Linked DNA regions of Caenorhabditis elegans. The protein of the gene in region 1 interacts with the protein of each later gene in a pairwise test. Each region holds a gene or a part of one and is shown in the gene's direction. Other genes may lie near its edges.

What was found.
Region 2: the proteins of gmeb-3 (region 1) and klf-2 interact in a two-hybrid assay, tested with the Caenorhabditis elegans proteins (one large-scale study listed by BioGRID).
Region 3: the proteins of gmeb-3 (region 1) and sex-1 interact in a two-hybrid assay, tested with the Caenorhabditis elegans proteins (one large-scale study listed by BioGRID).

What each region holds. Positions count from the first base shown.
Region 1 is NC_003281.10:3,766,876-3,770,632, forward strand, and holds gmeb-3 (SAND domain-containing protein), read left to right. Parts: upstream 1-1,624; 5' UTR 1,625-1,672; coding exon 1,673-1,813; intron 1,814-2,028; coding exon 2,029-2,203; intron 2,204-2,253; coding exon 2,254-2,350; intron 2,351-2,531; coding exon 2,532-2,728; intron 2,729-2,783; coding exon 2,784-2,972; intron 2,973-3,042; coding exon 3,043-3,374; 3' UTR 3,375-3,453; downstream 3,454-3,757.
Region 2 is NC_003283.11:20,683,655-20,687,411, forward strand, and holds the start of klf-2 (Kruppel-like factor 2), read left to right. Parts: upstream 1-2,028; 5' UTR 2,029-2,044; intron 2,045-2,075; 5' UTR 2,076-2,162; intron 2,163-3,253; coding exon 3,254-3,442; intron 3,443-3,490; coding exon 3,491-3,757. UniProt on the Caenorhabditis elegans protein: Probable transcription factor which regulates lipid metabolism.
Region 3 is NC_003284.9:10,203,584-10,207,340, reverse strand, and holds the start of sex-1 (Steroid hormone receptor family member cnr14), read left to right. Parts: upstream 1-1,919; coding exon 1,920-2,093; intron 2,094-2,207; coding exon 2,208-2,400; intron 2,401-3,323; coding exon 3,324-3,472; intron 3,473-3,757. UniProt on the Caenorhabditis elegans protein: Transcriptional regulator which is involved in the sex determination and X chromosome dosage compensation pathways.

The sequences.
Region 1 (3,757 bases):
TCGGCTGGTGGGGAGGGACACATAAGGTAGGGGGGACCGCCTGTTTGAAAGGGGGGACTCAATGCAACAATAAACGTATTATGATTCATTAAGTTTCAAAACCAAGTAACATTATGGCAAGTATATTGAGGTAATGTAAATAGTGTCTCTCTCATAGACAGCTTATCAGCAAGAGAAAATGGAATTTGTTCTAAGACAGGCTGAAAGTGGTGGGAATCTGTGTTTCAAACTTTTTTTTGATACTTTTTTGGCCAAAAAAGTAAAGCAGAACATCTTTATCATACCTTAGTTTTGTAACAACCAAATTCGAAACTAAAACTTGAAAAACAAGCATTCCCACTATCGCTTTTACGATATCAACCATCTATTTGAACAAAAACAAAATAAGATACTATCATATTAAAGTTTGTTACTTTTGATACTGGGAATGAGCAAAAAAAGAGTTTCAGTTTTTTTGGGCGTGGATCCTAACTGTAGTATTTCAGTCAAAAAACAAGAAGAGCTTGCTTTAGTAACGCTACTGTACCGTACCATTACAATAAACTAGCCAGTATTGCGTAAGTACCCTGGATATGCCGAGATGGAGCCCACAATCAATGTCGCCTGCTCAATTAACAATTTTGAAAATTTAGGAAATTTCATAAATTTTAAAATATATAACTTCCACTTCGCGATTTTTCATGCACAGCCGCAATTCATTGAATAGGTATTCCCCTATTCACCCATTAATATTTTAAAATTAAAAAAATCATATCTTAGCTAGAACATAAAAATATATCTAAAAATTAATTCCAGATGTTTCTCCACTGCACATGAAAAAAAACAAGCAAACAGTTAATTTTCAAAACAAAAAAAAACATTTTAAATGTAAAAATTGTAGCTAGCTCCAGGCTCCAGTCATATGACGAATGAGGTAATCGTTGTTCGTTAAAAAGTATAAAATCACCTTCATTATCGGGCCTCTCATGGGTATTTAGATCATTGAATTGCGGTTTCAAAAAGTAAAAGTACAAGTCCGGGTCACCCACCACTTTTAATGGAATGTGGATATGCTCAAATACAGTGCTCATTGTAATGGGATGGCGTGGAGGATGATTTACCCTGTGTAACAGAAAAATAGTAAAAATGTTTAACACCGGATGTTTCAGAAAAAATCCCATTTCAAATAATTTTGCAGAGCATTTTTTTGAATTCTGTGTAATTCTTCACAACAAACGTACTGGAAAAAAATCTGGAAATTTTTGAATTTAGTTGGGTAAACAATTTTAGAAGCTGATTTTTTTTTCAAAAAAAAAGCTTCCATGCAAATTACCGGGCCTCGCAAGAACTTAAAAAAACTCTTATGAAAAACATTTTTTTGCTAGTTCAAAATGCTCTTCCGAAACTAATTTTTCTGCAGTCATCTATTTTAATAATCATATTGTTTGTCCCTAGTAAGGCTTACGATACCACAATACTTTTTGGATTTTTCTCTGCAATTTTTCCAGTATAAATGATATTTTTGATCATTGAAATGCCTTAACTTTTCAAAAAAAAAATCATTAATTTATTTTAAAAATATTCAAAAACACGCGAGAAGCCAACAGATCCAAGCTGGCGGAAAACTAGTTGCGTGTCAGAAATTATCGTGTCGCGTCGGGTCGCCCATCTTTATTCATCGATTACCTGAAAAATGTGTGACGACGATGATTTCGAATTCTCTACTCAACCCGAGTTCGGATCAACCAGTGAGATGAAAAACGAAGAGATGCTGGTTCCAAGTGATCCAAATTTCGAGATAGACGGGAGACGCGTTCAGGAGAATATGTATGATGTGAGTTGGGATGTGAAATTTTGAGACAATTTTTTTGGAAACAATTCTTCCAAAAATTGAAATAGTCTTGTTAGTCTCGGAAATACTTTTTTGGCTCGAAAAAAATCTTCAATTTAGTTTGAAAACTTCAAATGCACCTACATTGCTGTCTGAGATACGAAAAATGCCATTTTGGCTCCAATTAGCAATTCGAAAATAACAAATAAATATTACAGCAAGCATCGGAACTCAGCTATACTTACCTGGATACTCCATCTGAACATATCTGGACACCAATTGTACCTCTAAATGCCACCACGGTGCCGGTTACCTGTGGATATGTCAAAGGAATTATGCATCTCAAATTGTTCAGGTGCCCCGGAATTCGTCAGGCTTGCATCGAATATGAATGTATGGTGGCTTTTATAATGTGAGAGAATGAATTTATTCTGGAATTTCAGCACAGTATCTGACTCCGAAACAATTTACGGAACTTGGTGGAAAAGGGCGACAGAAAGACTGGAAGGCGTGTATTCGTGTGGAGAATGTTAGCTTGAGGTGAGTGCAGAAAGATCAATAAATTGTATGCTTTGGTTTAGGCTCAGGCGTATGCTTAGGCTTAGGCCTCGGTTTTAGGTTATGTGCTAGGCTTAGGTTTGGGCTTAATCGTAACCTTTTGCTTGGGACTGCTAGCCACGTTTAATTCTTAACGTTCCAGTTTTAATTCATTAAATTTCAGAACACTATTGGAGAACAAAACCATCGATTTCTATAATCACAAGAGTATCTGTCATGGACAGTGCCAAAGTCGCAACTACATGAACTCAACGGGCAGAGCTCCAGTTAACAAACGTCACCTCGAAGATGTTCTAGCTTCCGGAGATGATGCATCTGAGCCAACGGAGCAAAGTAGTGGACAAATTAGTGAAGAGCCAAGTAATATTTTAAAAATCATGGTGCATTTAATTTTAAGGAAATCCTATTTTTTCAGTCAAGAAAAGAGGTCGTGGGCGTCCAGCAGGCAAGAAAAACAAGGCAAAGCTGGAAATCAACTTTGTTGAATCAGAAGATCAGCTTGTTTTTGAAGAGTTCTTCCAGCCAGCTTTCTCAACAAGATCCCCAGCTCCAGAAAGACCTGTGTGCAGCCCAGCTCAGGATATTTACAGTTGTCTGCAAAATGGTAAGGAGTTTTTGCATATTTTCGAGTTTCACTGCCTCTACCTATCAAATAAACTTCCAAATGATTCCAGATCCAATGAGTTTCTGGTCTCAAATCAAGCGAAGCGGCTTCATTTCTCAATTCTGTGATGACATAATTGCCGGTGCTATCAATCTGAAACAATCTGCAATGACTCAATCCTTGAATCAAAATAGTGCATTTGTTCTGACTCGTGCCACATTTGCTCTTGGTATCCAGAAGCCGATTGTGAATCGAGTGCAATCGATCGAGAGAAATGTGAATGAACAGAAGAAGCAAAATGAAATGATGGAGGACCAGGGAAAATATCAAGAAGATGCTCAAACTGAAGCTGACGACTTGGATAATCAACCTAGATGCAGTTATCTTTTGGAGGATCTTTAATAGATTTTAATAATAATTATTTTTTGTTCTGTACTGTTCGTACCAGTACTAGTATTTAAATAAAAGATTTTTTCAAGTTTTAAGTGCTTTCAGAATTTAATCACAAAATTGTTCTATTTCCCAGAAGCTTCCAGTTCAATAAAAAAACTGACCTACAGGCATATAAATAACCACATTTTTTATTGGGTGATCTTGATAATTTTTAAAAATTAAAAATTAATATACGACTTGACAGACAAAAAATAGATTGACAGACGAAAAATAGATTGACAGACGAAAAAATAGATTGACAGACGAAAAAATAGATTGACAGACGAAAAATAGATTGACAGACGAAAAATAGATTGACAGACGAAAAATAGATTGACAGACGAAAAATAGAT
Region 2 (3,757 bases), on another chromosome or scaffold:
CTTAGATAGTCTTGTTTTTTATGTACTTATCTGCGAAAACTAGAAATATTTTTAACGACTATTATACTAAAGTTATTATATATATTTTTTAAGGGATTCTTAGAATTCACCTATTTTCATAATACAAATTATAGAGGATATAAAAAATACCTATATAATAGATTGTAGTTATTGTATTTTCTCACTTCCGTTGTCTCAAAAAATGGAACCTCTTCTAATTATCCTTTTCGTTATTTATTGTACAGTTTTTGTAATTGGGACTACTGGAAATTTGATTATGGTCCTGGTGACATATTATTGCAAGTAAGTACATCAACAATTTAAATTTAAAAAAAACAAATTTCAGAAATCTCCGGTCAATTTGCAACGTCCTTATTGGTTTGTGTTGCTTTTACGATCTATTACTTGCTGTTCAATTTTAAAAACCAGATTCCAAAAATCGAATGAAAATTGTTTACGACTCATCTTGCACTTTTAAACACGCAAAAATGTAGAGTGTCAGACAAAAAGATACATTGCCACTAAATTTGTATGTCTATGTAAATATATATGTGTATATATAAATATATTTCAGAACATATGTACATACTTGTTTACTCACATCTGAATTCTCTTCGAGATCTTCTAATATTTTTATTAGTTTTTTTTGTCAAAACTCAAAATCCTGACGGTTACAATTTTTACAAAGAATTAGGTTGCTGGAGTTGCCTCAGTTAAAACCATACTGCGAGTTTTACCAGTCGAACACACCTTTCCATTATCTCAATATATCAAACATTAATCAATCATAAAACTGATATGGTCCCGCCGCAGTTGAAAAAAAGGAGACCGCCCGTCCAAACAATATTCTCAAGTACGTTTACATACCTAGTCGGCACTTTTAACAGTAATCACTGCTTCCTCCTCTTCCGCACCCACTTACTGGATTGTTCGCACCCGTAAAATCATAACTTCCCGACTGTAGCAAGGCGAGGCGGTAGGGAAGAGGGTACTAAAATTGGAGGTGGGAGGGGGGGGACGTTTGGATAAACACAGCATTGGGGTATCATTTTAGAGTACTGTAAGTGATACTGTTTGTGGATATGTATAGTTTTTTTTTTCAATCTAGCGTCTACATTTCCCTTCTGTTTTTAGTCCCGCACGTCATTTTCAGATTTAAAACCAAATCTTGGTTGTGACTTGACTGTCCGCAAATCCGGCAAATAGGCAAAATGCCGGTTTGCCTATTTGTCGGAATTTTCATTTTCGGCAAGTTGCCGGTTTGCCAATTTGATGGATATCAGATTTGCCAAAAATGTTTAGAGGGATTTTTTTTATAAGACGGAAACACTTAAAACTGTGCCTTTTTGAATTTTTTTCCGTTTTTTTTTTTGAAATTTTCATAGAATTTTCATAGAAATAGAATTTCTGATTTGCCGGCAATTTGCCCATTTGCCGGAAAAATCGTTTGCCACCCACCCGTGATGTACTGTACTATTGATCAAAACCGGCATAACTTTGGAGCACTACAAAGCCTTGTGTTCTTTCTATAAAATTTCTGAACTTTGAAAACAAAATTATTTATCACATGTCCTTTTCCCAAAAAACTCCCTTCCTTCTTCTATTAATGACACCCATCTCCCCTCCACACATTTTCCGCGCACACACCTTTCTGCCACCCCTTTCTCAGAGAAACAACAAACCTCCCCGTTTTTTGGTTACTGTTTGCCCATGCCTATCAGTTTTGACATGCTATCATAAAATGGCACTTGCAGGGCATATGTGCGCCTTCTTGGATAATTTTCTTCTAGCTTGACCATCGTCTTCTTGACATGTTTATTTTTTTTCGAAATGCCCAAAAGTGTCGTAATCTTTAGATCAAACATATCATGACCACCATCTACACATGCTCAAGTTTTCTGTATTTTCTATTCTTGGGGGGAAAGAAAAGTTTGCTCAAGTTTTCTGTTTGTTATCATAGGAGTGACCGGTCTGGTGTCACCACACCCCTTTTTTGGAGCCTGGGGAGCTCACTTTTTTGTAGACCAGAAGAGGTGTGTATATTCGCTTAGGATGTTTATTTTTGTGGAAACATTAGTCATTTTTCTTTAGTTTCACGATAGATGCTCTACTAATGAAGGCACGTATTGTAATCTAGCATTAACATTGTTTTGTTCTTTGTGGTGAGTACATAGGTATTTTGTTTTTAGTGAGTTAGTTCCTACGTGTTCAGTGCATTGAGAGTTAGAGCCTTATAGTTAGTAGTTAGTTCCCAGAATTTCGAACTTGAAAGTTCTTAAAAATGGAGCAGCGCCATTGGGGAAAATGCTAAAAACAACTCCTATGGTGTCAAAAATGACCGAATATCAAAATAAAACTTTCAAAAAAATTTTGAAATTTTTCTATTTACTGTCAAAAACTGACAAGTGCTCATTCTTTGCCACTCATAATTTTAGAAGTCGGAAAAAAATTTCTTGCATTTTTTATATTTTCATTTTGTTTTAATTATTTGTTTTAAAAAATTATAGGGGTCGGAACATGCGACACTGCATTGAATTTCCTCAAAGGCTCATATTTTTCAATATTTTGGCAATGTGCCAAAACTTTGACCTGGAATTATGAGAAACCTAAAATTTTTAGGAGTGTTGCATCATGATATTTTGTCGCTTTGGTTTAATATAAGTGAGACAAAATTCTCACAGGCGCTACTCCACCTTTAACTTTCTTATCTCTTGAATATTTCGGTTTGAGTGTGAATTCTCTAAATATCAAAAAGATCCAAAAATTTTGCTACTAATTCCCCCTATTTGTATATACACTTGTGATATGACGTAAAAACATATTCACAAGAACTACAACTTTCGCTTTGAAAATTCACAACAAATATCGAAAAGTAAGCAGTAGGCAAAGAAGAACGCAAGACTTTTATGACTTGAAATGTATTGAACGAGAATGAAGACGTCACATTTGTGCGTGTGTGTATGCACAACGGTATTACATGGTGTTGTTGTAGTGTTGGAATATTTGTACTATCTACTAGTAGAAGTTGCCTTACTTTGGCTTATGGTTAAGATTTTCACTACAAATTTAGAACTATGCATACAATTAGGTTCAGGCATTACATCTTTTTTTAACCACAAAATGAATTAGTATTTGCCTATGCTAATTTTTATTTGACCTTCTGTTACAATGTAATTTTTGAAAATTCGTTTCAGAGTCTCACTCTTTTTTGGTGATTTTCAATTTATCGTTATTCATCTACAACTCCTTCCAGATGTACTCTAGCATAGTCCCGTCTAGTTCAAATGGTTACTATCATCAGTCTCAATACCAAAATGCCCATCACCAACATCATCAGCAGCATTATCACCAACAATCTCATCATCATTATAATGGAGCAGCTGCGGCTCCAGTCATCAATGTTCACAACTATCATTTTCATACGGGACCTGTTAATAATCAGGTTTTGTATTTAATTGAAGTTTTTAAATTCAATTTTCTATTTTTTGAGGTCATCGAGCAGCACTACAATCATCATAACCATGTCCAACAAACTTTCGAAGAAAATATTCCACAAGGCCCGCACAGTTCTTTCAATTTTTCCCATGACTTTCCACAACAGAATAATTCCGAAACTCACCTCAATCACATGGAACCTTCGATGACTCCAATGGAACATCAAAACTCGGGAAGCTCGACACCATATCCGTTTGAAGCCAAGTTATTCGTTCCATCGCCTGCAGCGTCTGTATCCAGTTACTCATTTTCAAGCGATTTG
Region 3 (3,757 bases), on another chromosome or scaffold:
ATCGTTAAGAGTAGAGAAAAATGAAACAGCTGTTTTCTTTTTTTTCTTGGAAAAATGCCTGTGTAGATGGAAGAACATGGTGCAATAGAAACAAATTTATGAATTGTTCAAAAATTCGTCATTTTGAAGAAAGTACATCGACAGATGCACAAAATTTCGCAGAGAGTCTTTTATGCTTTAACAGTTCCAGCTGTCGTTTTGATGAATTTTCCATAAAGTACAAAGTTAGGGTGAAGTTTATTTGTGAAACGGGAATGCAATTCGTGAACTCATAAAGATTGTGCATGTTACTGAAACGTCTCTTCGTAATAGAAACCGGGGAAAAGGCATAAGTTGCATCATTAAGAGATGTTAGCTAGGGAAAGATGTGCACGAAGGTGTATTGTTATGTCCGAGTGTACAAGTGGAGGACGAAATATTGGTGATCTAGAATTCCGTTAGTAATTTAGATGCCTTACTAGTTACACAGTTCACGCAATAGCCGGCGAGCGTTAATTGTTGAAGTTATGTGCTATATTATGTGCCATTTTTGGAGATATTAATAATATTCACTCTTATTAGAGTATCCTCCCGTCCTATATATTTCATCTCCCAAGTTGTGTATGCGCAAGCGATGTGCACCAATTTTTAAAGGTGGTTGTAAACCGGCAGACCTCTTTCCAGACGGTGTCTTGTTGTGCGCATTCGCCTCTTCTCCTCCCCTTTGCAGACTGTTCATTTCTCGATCACAGTTGTCTCGTTTTTCATCTCCAACAATTGCGGACCACTGCATTGCCTCCTCTTCTCTCTCAGTCCGCACTTTTTTGGATCGATATTTTGTTTTTCATTGTGCATATCTCTAGTTTGTTGAGTTTTCTCTGTGTGATTCTTTGCAACTCTGTAAACATTATTATCTTACTCTTCTCACTACACGTCATCGCTTCCCAACATCTCGTCACTTCTCCTCACCCAAGAGGTGTCAATTCACACCTTAACATGATGGTGAAGTGAGCTCGAGTGGATAGTACTTCATCTCGAGCCCTCCTTCTGTTGCTTTATCTTACCGTCTCCTCTTCCCTAGTTTTTTCCTGTGAGAAAGGCACGCAACCATGCAACACATTGTGTATGGAATATCTAATTGCAAATTGCGCAAGAATTGCCTAGAACAACGCAATCATTTTCTCGGGGGAGAACGCAGTAATCTTGTTCGCTCAAACTATCTTCGTTTATTTTTGTGCGTGATTGTGGACTTGGCTGATCAATTTTTGCATCCATGATTTCTACCAAAAACTTTTAAAAAAAAAATGCACACATGTGTAGTAGCGGCTTAACATGTGAAGGACTATACTAGGTAGTTATAAATTGTATCACATCTTCTCAACCTAGTTGAATTTGTTGGAAACTTCATAATGCTTTTGGAAATTGTTCTATTCAGATCACTTTTGAATTTTAATTTAAGAAGTTGAACACGTTTCTTACTTTCCGGTACTAAAATATCAATTAAAAGGTAAAATTTTACTCTAAAACCATGTGTGAAGCTCACCTCATGCCACCCGTTTTTTTAATCGAAATGTGCTTGCTTGTCGAGCAATCTCCCAGTGGTGCACTCCTCCTCAGCTCCGCCTATCCTCCTCGTCTCTCCCCATCCTCTCACCCACAGGCAGGCATTCAGCGCAGATTAATACACGATACCAGCCTTCCTTATTGCTAGTTAATAGTTCCCTGCTTTAAAAACTAATTGTTGATTTCTAGATTCTAGCTTTCCATGTTCTCTTCATCAAATTGTTATCACGTTTTTCTCGAACTGCTGTTCTTTTCCTTTGTCAGCAGATTTTCCATTTCTTTCTTTTACCTTTCAGATAATTCTCTTACCAATTCTCTGTCTCTTCCCACTGTGAAAGTTGTCCGTTACTGCATTACTCAATAATTTTAATTTTCAGATGAGTTTCGAAACAAAACCTAACTATCTGTTACTGACAAATCCTGACACACCGCTTTCTGTATGCACATCTCCATACTACAGCCCTTCTGGAAAAACAGCTTCAATTCCATCATCAGAGGCAAGCAAACCAGAAGGAACAAATGGTCAATGGTCACATCTTCCGACTGGAGCTGTAAGTTTTTGTCGTCATCATTTTCATATTTTGTTCTGATTTACAAAGTTAATGCGTAGTTTCAAAATAGAAATCCAGGAATTAAACTGAAAACTAAATCTTCTCAATTTGCAGACGTACGTGACGGATGAATTCTCGTCAGAATTCCAAATCCAAAACGGATCGACAGCAGCTCAAAGTGGTAACGCCAACAACTACGCTGACCCTCTCTCACACCGTCGCTACTTCAATAACGTCAATGGGTACAATCACCATCAGTTCTATGATACGGCGTCACAAGCCAGCGTGAGCTCGCCGGCAACAAGTGGTAAGTTAGGGAGTCTATTTCTATCAAAATCTATCAGTAGGTGGGGCATATCATCAAGTGTGTGGTGACAAGTGGCAGCAACATCTACAGCAACACAGATTTTTTTCCTCACCTAAGAACATGTGTCTGAGAAGTGTTGCAAGTTTCCGAGTTTCTCTCGCCTTTTTTCTTTATTTCTCCCATTTAATTGATAGAAGAATGAGAGCAGAGAAAATGAAAAAGTCTAATAGACTTTGCAATCATTCTTCATCTCTTCCCTCTCTGGATCATATTTAGCTCGATAGGGACCAGATCAGTTGTGCTCTGTTCCACGTATCTTCCTGTATTCTAAGATGGCCTACTTTTGTACAACGAAAGTGAAGGCAAGCGGCTATGACGTGGTTGCGTAATAATCTCCAGGTTTCGTCATTTCTTTGGACGTCCGCTGCCAGACCACAGTGATGTATGGGTACGGTAATAAAAGAATGCCGATGGGTGAAAGAAGAGGAGAAGACGAAGTGTAATAAAGGAGGAGAACGTAGAGAACGGTGAAAGAGTGCGATGTAGGCGTGGTAAAAAGACTGTGAGAGTGAGAGAGACAATGAGAACGCATATGCCACAAATCTTGAAGATGTGGCTAAGAGCTTACTGAGTCGCGGAGAGAACGGGACCAAGGAAAACTAGGTAAATACTATCACGTCATCATTGAGAAGGAAACAAATATGGTGTGCACAGTGTACTTCAATAAATTTCACTGGTATACATAGCATGTTAAATCTGTAATCTGCCAAGTTGAGTTAAATTTGTATATTTCTGATGTGTAAATAAGTTTAGAAAAAGAATAAAACAGAAGAATTCGAAGAATCGAAGAAATGTTGTATGACCATATCACCCACTTGAAAATTGACTCTTCTAAAATTTCTTAGATAATTTTACATTTACAGTAACTTCATCGTTGTCTCCTCCTGATTCCTTATCAAATGGTCATACCACTCAACGTCATCACATTGGGAAGGCGATCTCATTTTGCAAAGTATGCGGAGACAAAGCAAGTGGATACCATTACGGAGTGACGTCATGCGAAGGATGCAAGGTAGGCATGAATGGTCCTAAAATGATCACTAATCACGTGGTTCTATTGAATTTAATGAAACCCTTCTCCACTCATAAATCCCCTTCTTGTTCTATTTACGAAACCTATATTTATGACCGTCTTATTTGATTTTTTGTTTTCCCTTATGTTAGACCAAGAGCGAGAGAATGAGCACTTCCCCAACACAAATTGCGCAATTATTTGGAGACTGTGTATTGCTATGTGCATTAAGGACTCTCTTTTCCCATTGTGCGAGTGTCTTGGATGCATACTAACATAAGAGGA